Arabidopsis thaliana: one gene and its partners. The protein of the gene in region 3 interacts with the protein of the main gene of each other region in a pairwise test. Each region holds a gene or a part of one and is shown on either strand. Other genes may lie near its edges. The genes, in order: GRF6, AT1G19000 and AT5G27810.

Region 1 (3,435 bases), on a different chromosome or scaffold from region 3:
TCTCTCTCTCTCTCTGTAGGATCTCTTTCAACTTTTCAGAACATATTGACTGCAATTATAGTTTATAAGCAACAAAATTACACGCACACACAAGTATAATTTGCTTTATGTCATGTACTCATGTGTGTGAGTGAAGAAATAATAATTCAGTTTGATGAGAATAAGAGAAGTCGTCTTTCTCTCTCACTGAGTCAGAGCAGAAAGCTTTTGATTGGGTGTGTGGCTTTTTCAGACCTGACCAAACTCAGTCAGGGAGCAGAACTCAACTCAACTCAATTGCAAAACCTGTCTTTTTTTTACTCTTTTCTTATTTTCTTCATCATTTTTTTCTATAACATAACCTTTAAGAAAAATTATTTACTGTTTTAATTATAAAAAAAAACTATTTACTATCCACAGTAAATAGTTTAATGAACAAGTTTCTGACAAAAAGAATCAGAAATAATTAATTACAGAAACATGAATTGATAAATTTGTTGCTAATCAATGACTTAGTGACATCGTACTATCACTAATATTGACAAGAGATGAGCAGAAACAATTTAAACATTGAAACCAAACTAATATAACTACTTTACACAAGTTAAATCTTTTATGCTAATATAATGCATGGATCACAAAAAGAAACTCCTAATTAAATTAGACAAAAAAAGAGAGAATTTGCATTACCATCTTAACAAGAAATACAAGGTTATAAGAACAAAAGATGATCAAATGAAGAGTGAAGTAGAAACAGAAGATTTAGAAGAAGGCCATTCATCAAGAAACCTATAAAACCTCTTGCTTCCTTGCTCTTCTTCATTATCATGATCTCTTTGTTTCAGCTTCTCCTCTAACATCAATGGCCTCTCACGTGTCCTCAAGTCAGTACCAAGGATGAAGCAATGTCGATCCGGCTGCTTCTCCTCGTTGTTGATGCCTCTACATGAGCCATCATCATTATCTTCCATTGCTGAGCCAGAGCAGCTTTTGATTGACCCGGAAGGTTCTATGGAGAAGAAATCATCCATGTATCCACTTCTTCTTCTTCTACTTTCAAACATGTTTTGAAGATAAAAAATAGTCAATCATTGTGTTGTCATTAGAGTAAAACAGAGGAGGAAGGTGTGTTTGAAACCTGGAAGAAGAGTCGAGAAAGAGATTTGGAGTGAATTGAGTAGGAGGAGGCTTTCTTGAGGAAGAACGGTTCTTGCCTCTATGCATATGTCTCTCACAGTACTTAGAGTCAGGGTAAGCTTCTTTAGAGCATCTCCATTTCTTGCCATCAGTTCTTCTACATCTTCCTGGCTCTGCATCTATCTTTCTTCCCATTCCCATCTCATACACATTCCACCCAACTGAAAAAAAAGAGTCAAATTCGTTTACATTATCACCAAACCCTAAGGATAACCATCATAGAGCACAAAGCAAAGAAGATAAAGTGTGCTTACAGTGTGGAGAAAGAGTGGGAGAGAAGAAGCTTGAAGAAGAAGATGAAGAAGAAGAAGAAGAGAAGAGAAAGGGTCTTTTGATGAGGAAGAGAAGATGAGGTGGAACAGGCATATTTGCAGCTAAGTACTTGAACACAAGAGCTTGGTTTTCAAGTTCTTCCCATTGTGATTCTGTGAATGGAATCCTTGTAGCCATGAAGAGAGAAAGAGAAAGAGAGATGAAGAAGAAAGAGAGATTAAAGATTGGGATTTGTATTGGAAAATTGAAAGTGTAAGAGAGTAGTAGGTATGTTTTTATTGATAAAGTGTCCATTGGTCACCTGCAGTCTGCAGAATCTCTGTGCTTCATGTCCTCTTCTTGTTTATTATTCCTTTTTCTTATTTCTTAAAATTTTCTTTTCAGCTTTAGTTTTGGTTTTATCTTAAGCACCATTTCAGGTTTTTCTTTTCCTTCTTAAAAGCTAAATTTTGTGACAAGGGGCATAGATAACTTATGTTTAATTTATTTACGTATTATATTCAGGAGTTTGTAACTTTTGTTTGCGTTTAGAAAAACGAGAAAATTTGGTAACCGAAAAGAGAATCTACCAAGTTACATACGTATACGTAAACAATATCCTTCGGGATTGACTCTATTAAGTTCTAATTATTTTTGGTTGACAAAAAAAAAATCTAACAAGTCATGAAACTTAAGAGGTAAAGTTGTGTACAAAATAATAAGACATTAAAAATTTCAGCTCTAATGTTGGGTTGTTATGATATCTTTTGAGTCATATAACTTATATCTCAAACTTTAGTATATGTGAGAAAGAAAAAATAAGAAAAAAAAAATACTTATTTGTGAAAGAAGCTTGAATTTAACCCTACAATATTTAAGATGTTTTTAGCATTTATATTCGATCCTAAATATAGTAAGTAAATAGCCAAGTGAGAGGATTTATGTCCCTCTTCTATTCTTCTTAATGTTTTAACTATAAAAAAAGAAACATGTAAGCATATTGCAACTATTACAAAGATCGTTATAAAGGTTTAGCTAACCACAAAGAACATTCTCTTAATCATTCATTATAGTATTAGAAAATAAAATGAAAGAAGTCCAATTGTAATGAGTTTATAAATTTTGAATTATACCAAATCATTATTTTTGTTCTTCAATCAAATAAACCGTATCGTGTAATGTGACATCTTTGGTTAGATAGACGACTCGTAGTACTCGTAGCTCCAACACATTCGACATTTATAAAATTAAGTGTACACGGTCCACTTGTGTTAAAAACACTATGCATGAATAATAAATTGTTTTGAATAAAAAATATTTATGAGAATAGAAGTAAAAAAGTTTGAGAGAGAGAGAGGGAAAATAATGAGTGAGTCTGCAAACTCTGAAAACTTCTGCACTCTCTGCGACTCTTCCCTTTCACAGCTCTCACTCACTCCCATACACACCCATCACTCATGCCACATCTCTTTCTCCCTCTTTTATTTTTGTTTTCTTTTGAATTTTTCTAAATTATTTTATATTTCTCAAAAGAAAAAAAACTGTGATTATTTTAATTATCTTTTTTCTTTGTTAAAGATTATTTTAATTATCAAAATTTAAAATTTTGTTCATGCCTATGTAAATAATTCATTTGAAGTCGGTCATCAAATGAAGTTAGACCCAATGCATTAACAGATGGTGGGGGTTTGTGAAAAAACCTCAGAAACTTACACTTCATAAAAACATGATTTATTTTCTTAGGAAAACCTCTAATACTAAAAATACATCTAAATTGATCATATAAATCATGTTTTTTATCCAAAAATATATAAGGTTGATAAATTAACTATATTTAAAAAGACTATATTTGAGACGTAACGATTTAAAAATATTTAGGCAGTTTTTTTTGAAAGATTAGAAACGATTATGTTGAAGTTATAAATAAAAGGTGTTTCACATAATACATACTCATAAATAAAGTTAATAGCATCTTAATCGTCTTCAATTTCTCTTTTATATATGAGA
Region 2 (4,784 bases), on a different chromosome or scaffold from region 3:
GCTATTGTTAGTTCTGTTCTCAACCTGATAGAAGTTTTCATCTTTCTTCGAACCCGCAACCGGAAACGCCAATTGAAGCTCACGTTCATCGTCGATAAGAAGCTCAAGATCCTTATGCAAGATTCCAATAAGAGACTTGTAAGTATCAACATCTGTTTCTTTCTCGGTAGCGAAAGAGAGAAGACATCCTTCACACATACGTTTGATCTCAGAGAGTTTCTTGTGCACATGACAGTAAGCGAGAGATGAGACATTCTTCTTGTGAGCATCGCATATCGAGTCGTTGTAATAGAAATCAGGGTTTCTGCTGACAAGAACATGGTCGAGTCTAGTGCAGAGAAGACAGGGGATTTTGAGGTCAAAGAATTTAGCGATTTGGTTAGAGAAGAAAGCGAGGAAGCCATCGATGAAGAGGATAATGATGAGGATCCATTCAAGAAGAGCGTAGATTAAGAACTGTGGGAATGTTCCAAGTTCTTCTTCTATGAAATTCTTGAAGGAACGGTTAGACATTATTGTGATTGCAAAAAGCGATCACGAAGATAAGAAGCAAACTTCAGATAAATTAACAGGAAGAAGAAAATTATCTTAAAAGGGTTACATGAAGATTGAAATGGTAACAGGAAAAGGAACCCAAAAAAAACAGAGGTTATTAGCTTTATTATCTAGTCCTCTATATTTGGATTGGGAAAAGAATTAATTTGACCAATAATACCTGAAATAACGGCTAATCGCAGACAAGTAAAATTGACAAAATTAGATTCTTTTTCTTTAAAATTTACTCTGTTTTTTGGATTGTCATGTACTATAGGGAAAAATGGTGTTTGCTAGGGAAAGAGAAAAAAAAAAATCCACAAAAGTCGAAGTGGCATATGAAATTGGCAACATTATTATGACATTAGAGATAAATGATAAAATATTCGAAGAACCATACATAGTTACATACAGTTTTAGGCTTTTATCTTATCCCCAAAAGATAAGATAATAGAAAAGCCTAAAAACCCCACAAATCACCAACCATTGATTGAGATGGGCCACATGAGAATCACGCTTGTTTTTAACTTACATCACCACAAAACAAAACACACACAGCAGAAAATGACTCATAACAGTGTGTGTGACAAGAGTTTTACAAACAAACAAAGATGATGAAGCACCCTAGACACAGTTTGTCCATCAATCTCTATAGCCTTCCTCTGTTTTTGTTCTGTTTTTTTTTTCCCCTGATTATATTTTCAGACAAAATACATAAAAGTTTGACAAAGTAAGGCCTAAAGAAAGATCAAAAACAGGACTGAGACTTAATAGGGTTCTTTTTTCTTATCTGTTTATACCTAATATGTACTACTAGTACTACAACAACAGAGAAACAAAGAAAGAAACAAGGTCTTGTAGATTCACCTTGGGTTTAAGCTCTAAGCAACTCTGATGATGCTGCTATTGCTATCTCCATCGCTGAAGCTTGGCATCATCGTGAAAGCCGAGTGTCTTGAGTTGGGTTGCTCGTTAAGATTAAATGAGGATGCCAGACAAAGGTTGAGAGAAAGTGGAGCAGCATCTGTGTTTAGATTGAATGTTGGCTTTGCTTGGAAGGTTACTGGAACCAGATATGGATCGTTGAGATGAAATGTCTCTGGTGCATTCTCAGTTTTTGTCGGCACGTCAGTAAAAACTTGCATCGCTTGCTGTCCAGAGCTGATGTTGGTTTCAGGTAGTGGTGAGTTCTCCTGAGTAGGATCTTGCTCCATGGCCATTTCTGTAACCTGATCAAACCAATCACACCTAACTGTCACACACTTACCATTATTGTTTATAAACTACAACTTAAAAGATATATACCCAATTAGACCAAAAATCATTATGATACTTCTCCATATTACTTTGTCTTTAAGTTCTAAAGAAGAAATACTAAAAACCTAAGAAAGGAAAGAGCTTTGAGAAAGCAGAGAACACCAAAGAAAGTAAGAAAGTTAAGTTCTATCAACTAAGCTAAAGTCTAGACCTTTTCATTCACATATGATTTAGCTAACATAAAATGATTTAGGATAAGAGTAGAGATTTACCGTCTCAGTAGTGATATCAAAAAGGCTAGATCTTCTTCGGCGACGGTTGAGGTTGGTTCGTCGGAGGAAGTATTTCTGAGCATGACTAGCTACTTGAGTAGGAGTCCTACTCTTCACAAAGTTTCTTGATATTCCTTTCCAATCTCCTTTTCCTACTTTCTGCAACCCAATCAAGAACCTCTTATGCTCGTTCTCTGTCCATGGAACCCCTGTTTTGTTCAACACAAACAAACAATAATCAACGACAACGAATCCATAGCTCAAAACCAATCAATCACCGACATAAATTCCAACATGCATAGATTCAATCACGAATTGGATAAGATTCAAATTAGAGACATTCTAATAATACAATCAATCAGAATCCTAAGCTCTTATCAGAATCAGAAAAAGAGTAGTACCTCGTTTCCTCCCGCCGGAAGAAGACGAAATCTGGACAGCGTCATTGGCGGAGGCGTAACCGTCAGCGACAATCACCGTCGCATCCGTTTCGTTCTTATCTTCACCATCTCCAGCTCCGGCGGTGACTATCTTAGGGATCTCATCCTCCGGAGAAGACTTTTCATAATCAGAGAGATTGTTCAAACTCACACACTTTCTCATCGGATCAACCACGACTCTAACTCCGAACAACATGATCTCATCTCTCTTTCCCGTAACGCCGCAGTCTCCGGTCTCCGACGAACTACTAACGGCGGCCATAAATAAAACACTTTTTCCGATTTTGCCCTTTGCGTCGCTTTTGGTTTTTACCCTTTCGAAATAAGAACCGTACAGATTAGGAGACGAGGTGTGAGTGGATCTGAGCTACTTCTTCTGTCTTGTCTTTATAAAAACTCGATAAGCCACGTGGCATTACTTACTCTGTTGTGTGTTATTACGATAACATGACACGTGTTTATTTATGATTTGTTCGTCACTCGTTTCCTCTGTGACCTGCTTGTCTCTCTATATTTATCATTTCTTCCATTTGGATTTATTAATTAATGAGTTATTTTCTTTGGATATATTCTGATAATGTCTCTCTCTCTATTCATTATTTTTGTCATTTTAATTAAATGTGTTTTTTTTTGTTCAAGCAAAGTGAATGTGTCTCGACGTCCTTCTCTCACGTAAAAAAAATGGTTTCTAGTGTGATTTTCTTATTGATGATTTGAATATAGAAATGAGAAAAAAAAAGTTGGTAAAGGAAGTATGGTGTGTCATGCGCATGAAGATGAAATGTGATTTTTGAATGGTAGTTCATAATTAAACTGTATAAGATGGTATTATAAGTGTGTTTTATAATGTAATGTTAGTGTTAAACGAATCTGGTCAACTTACTTAGTGCGATTCCCGATTACATCCAACCTGATTACCTTTATATAAAAACCATTATCTTATTTTAGCTAGCTTGTAACGAATCACACAAGCAACCAAAAAGTTACCTTGATAATCTCAATCTGTTAGTACTCTTTATTTCATCCTTCGCTTTAATCTAAATTAATCCTCCAAATCCCTTTTAGAACATTGTTTTTATTGAAATACAAATTACTTCTGGTTAGGATTAAATGATTGATAAACTAATCAAAAGAATATTCCAAATTGTGGCATCAAAATATTTGATGAAGACATGGGGCCAATGGGAGCACATGATATCCTCATCACTTTAAATACTAGCTAGTATTTTATGTATCCATCAATTCTCTTCTTCTTTTTTTCCTTTTCCCCTTCAATTAATAGCCTTTTAAAGTTTTAATTTCCCTTGCAAATTGTCCTTTTAAAACCAGATATGATGATAATCCCTTACAAGTTACAAGCATGATTAACGTATGAATCTCCTCATAGTTTACAAACTGATTGATTCACATTCACACCACTAGTGAAACACATGACCGATTAATTCGACTGACTAATCATGTTTTAAGGGATATTGTCATGTGGATCATATCACTAAACTCTATTTTAATTGAAAATATCACACAAAAGTATAGTATAACCACATTCTTGCAAATATAGTGAAGAAATAATTGAATTCACACAAATTTTGGAGAAGGTTGTTGCTGATCGGGGTTGACTTTATATGTTCGCAAATAAACATGATATTTTATAAGAATTATATTGTACGATTAAATGACCGTTGTTGATCAGTTGGTTAAATATTGTTTTTTGCAAATTAAATAAGAGATTACAAGTTCAATGTCTATAACAAATTTCTTTACAAATCACAATGATCATAAAACTTAAAAAAAATTGGAGTCTAGCTAATGATGTAACACGGTTTAACAAAAAGAAAAGAGTATATGATGAGCTTCTCCAATAATCTTGGTTCAGCACATGAACTTAACCTTTCTATCTCTATCGACTCTCTCTGGTTTATCTTCTTAATCTTTGGTCGTCTTAACTCAAATCATTCAACATTAGAAGTATTCCATTGTAAAAATGTTTTGTTGTTGCAATTAGTGATTTAAAACAAACTAGAGACTTAAAACTTTTACGCTTTATCTTGTTAGTTTTTTTTTTTTTTAACTTAAAAATTAACGTGGTGTCATGATCATATCCCATCGAAGTTTAAGCATGGGGGTTTAACAACATGCATGCTGCATGATAGGAAAGATATAAAAATCTTCTAATTATTAATCAAACATTTTCTTGTGGAAAAGAAAAAGAAAAGGAAAAGCACATATATTGGTTATGAATGAAAGACACCATTACCTTTTCTTGGTTGCACACAACAAAGAT
Region 3 (2,999 bases):
CCACTAAGCTCTCGTTGTTAACACAATAAACTTATGATGACTAATATTAAGCTAGACAAAGTAGATGAACCTAAAAGACAATAAAACAGTAAATTGAGTTGTAGGTTCACAAGACTTTTAAAATGGTTCACATAATATTAAAGGGTTTACAAGAGTTTTTAAAAGAATTTTAAATGGTTTACAATATGTTAGGTACATTAACATTTCAGTGTATATTATTGATTATATATTATATAATATTTGTACTTAACACTTTAAACGAAAATATTTTCTTTTTTAAAATGTGAGCTGTCATATTTTATATTTGAAAGAAAAAATATAAAATCTCAACAGTTCTAAAATTGAAAAGAAACCTTAAATCTAATCTGCTCAAAATGTTATTAAAGAATTAATAAAGGTAAGACATATGTTGAAAAACAACACATAAACGGAAAAATGAAACAATAAAAATAAGAGTATCACAAATCTCTAAATTTAAAAACAACATATCATTGTGAAAATAGAATGAAAAATATCACCATCATCAAACTGATAACAATAAAAACATAAATTGTGATGCAATCTATTACATGACAAAAAAACTGAAAGCTAATTATAAATTCACTTATCAATCCATTCTCGAAATTATTGTAATACCACATTAAATAAAATCCTAACGAAACCATTTATTATTGGAAATACTTAGAACAAGAACTATGTACGATATCGCTTGAGTTGCCGACATCAAGAGCGATGGAAGATTCTCCAGGGATATGATGTTGGTGCTCTTGTTGATGACGGTGGATGTGGTTGTGTTGGCTATCATCCATGAATTGAAACGCCATTTGCTCTCCTGGATACTTCATTTGCTCAAGATGGTTCATCATTTTCATAAACCATTGTTGTTGATTCTGATTGTGATTCTGATTTAAGCATCTCCATGTTTCCAATTAAGCATCGAAACATGACTTCAGTCATCTCGAGCTCCTTATTGTCCTTTCTTTGTCTCCTCAAATTCTCTGTCGGTTTCGCGATCCTTTGTTTGAGAAAACCTTCTTGATCTACCATCTTTTTGTGTTGATCCATTTCCGGGAGTGTCCTAAATTCGGAAACCACTCTTTGCACACCAGAATTTGATGGCCACACTTCATGACTGGTATCATACGGACTGTAGATGATCGCACACGATGTGATGCCACATAGAGTTGAGAGTTCATGTACTTTCTTCATCAACCCCTTCTTTCTTTTTTGAAAGTTGCTTTTCTTGAAGAATCGTTGGAAATGAAAGCAAGTTTCATTTTATTTCTCGTCATTAAAATGTTTTTTTGTATATTTTGAGATTGTTAATGTGTAGTATTATGTAGTACTGAGAAGGTACAAATATTTGTTATATAGGGTATCTTTATTTTAATACAAGAAAATATAAACTTCCAAATCAAGCTTTAATGCATGAACATTATAAAAAAAATCTGAATGGATTGAAGATAGAGATTATAACCGTTTTTCTTATTTACTACATGTATTATCACTACTGATTGACATATGTAGAACTATAGTCCAAATATTTATAGAGTGGTAACATCAAAACAATAAAATAGGATAAAATGTTTAGCTAGCAAATTTAGTTTTTAACAGCAAAAATCATCAATAAATATCAATCTGGTAATGTTATTTAAACATGATGCAACTAATATAATTATTTAATAATATATATAATTTTCAAATATTGTGATGATTAATAAGATATGGTATTAAAAGGTAGTCAAAGATTTGTTTCAAAATATTTTTGTGATTATTTCCCTTGCTGGAGACATTGAATCTCGGTTGTTGACTGGTAAATTAATCATGAACTATTTACCATATAGATAATTCTTTAAGAAATCAGTTTTTAAATCTCTTGATTTTATATATATATTAAAAATAGGTTAGCAAAATTACAATACCCATCGTAAAGTTTAAAAACTTCATAAGTAAAGGCATGTAAAACTAAACTACATTTCTTAAATGAAAAAAAAAAGTATAACGAGGGTGGTAAGTTGAAGGATAAAATGTTAACGAAAAAAGAATAAAATTTAGAAGAGACATGATGAGAAAAAAAAAATTGTATCCAACTTGTGATGTTATCAGAAGATTACAAGATCGCAGTCTAGCAAAATGTATATAAAACTATATTTAAACTCGCGGTATATCGGGGGAACAATTTATTTTTTAAATTAATATATATATTGTAAATTGTATCTATTTATAAAATATTTTTATTTTATAGTTTATAATTATTATTACGTAACGTCCTGCCAAACCCGTCCCGCCAACCTGTCCTGTAAAGAAAACTCATTTATTTTATTAATGTTGACCTTATTTATGATATGTTTATGAATTATTGTCTAAATATTTTGTAATTTTGTAGTAATTACATGCTATCAAATATCTCTGCGATTTGATGATTATAATCATGCAGAAAAGCAACATCAAAAATGATAATTTTGTAGTAATTAAATGATATTAAATATTTTGAAAGTTTTATTTTAGTAATTAATCGTGTAGTTAAGGTAGAAAGATTTTAAGAAGATTGTTAAATGTCAAATATTTAATTAGAAGATTTTCTTTCTAATTATCTAAAATAATTATTAAATGTCAGTGGCAGCCACTGTAAATAAATCCCAACTCCAGGATTTATTTTACAAAGTGGCTGCAAAAATGTATATGTAGATAATTAGAATAAACTAAGTGGTGAATGGTGTATATTATAAAGAACTTATAAATTGTTATGCAATTTAGTAAAATATTTACACAATATTTGGTGATGGTTTTTTACCCATTTTTCCTATAATTTGTGAAAGAAAAAAACAAAAAATGTTATGATATTCAATGTATAAGTTATTAATGGGACCGAATTGGCCTTGCCAGCATATTTGATTATTTTCTAGTCCTGAGATTTTGGCTAAACCGGGTTGTTCGGGTCGGGTTATTCCTTAACTTTTTTTTTTAACATCAATTTTTTCTTCTTTATTTATATTTCT

Evidence for each region.
Region 1: the proteins of AT5G27810 (region 3) and GRF6 interact in a two-hybrid assay, tested with the Arabidopsis thaliana proteins (one large-scale study listed by BioGRID).
Region 2: the proteins of AT5G27810 (region 3) and AT1G19000 interact in a two-hybrid assay, tested with the Arabidopsis thaliana proteins (one large-scale study listed by BioGRID).

Annotation. Positions count from the first base shown.
Region 1 is NC_003071.7:2,424,531-2,427,965, reverse strand, and holds GRF6 (growth-regulating factor 6), read right to left. Parts: upstream 1,791-3,435; 5' UTR 1,744-1,790; coding exon 1,431-1,743; exon of another isoform or gene 1,338-1,430; coding exon 1,118-1,337; intron 1,030-1,117; coding exon 711-1,029; 3' UTR 643-710; downstream 1-642.
Region 2 is NC_003070.9:6,559,920-6,564,703, forward strand, and holds AT1G19000 (Homeodomain-like superfamily protein), read right to left. Parts: upstream 2,873-4,784; 5' UTR 2,766-2,872; coding exon 2,465-2,765; intron 2,273-2,464; coding exon 2,064-2,272; intron 1,764-2,063; coding exon 1,416-1,763; 3' UTR 572-1,415; downstream 1-571. Other genes in the region: AT1G18990 (myosin-binding protein, putative (Protein of unknown function, DUF593)), read right to left, coding at 1-513.
Region 3 is NC_003076.8:9,854,037-9,857,035, reverse strand, and holds AT5G27810 (MADS-box transcription factor family protein), read right to left. Parts: upstream 1,366-2,999; 5' UTR 1,210-1,365; coding exon 850-1,209; 3' UTR 578-849; downstream 1-577.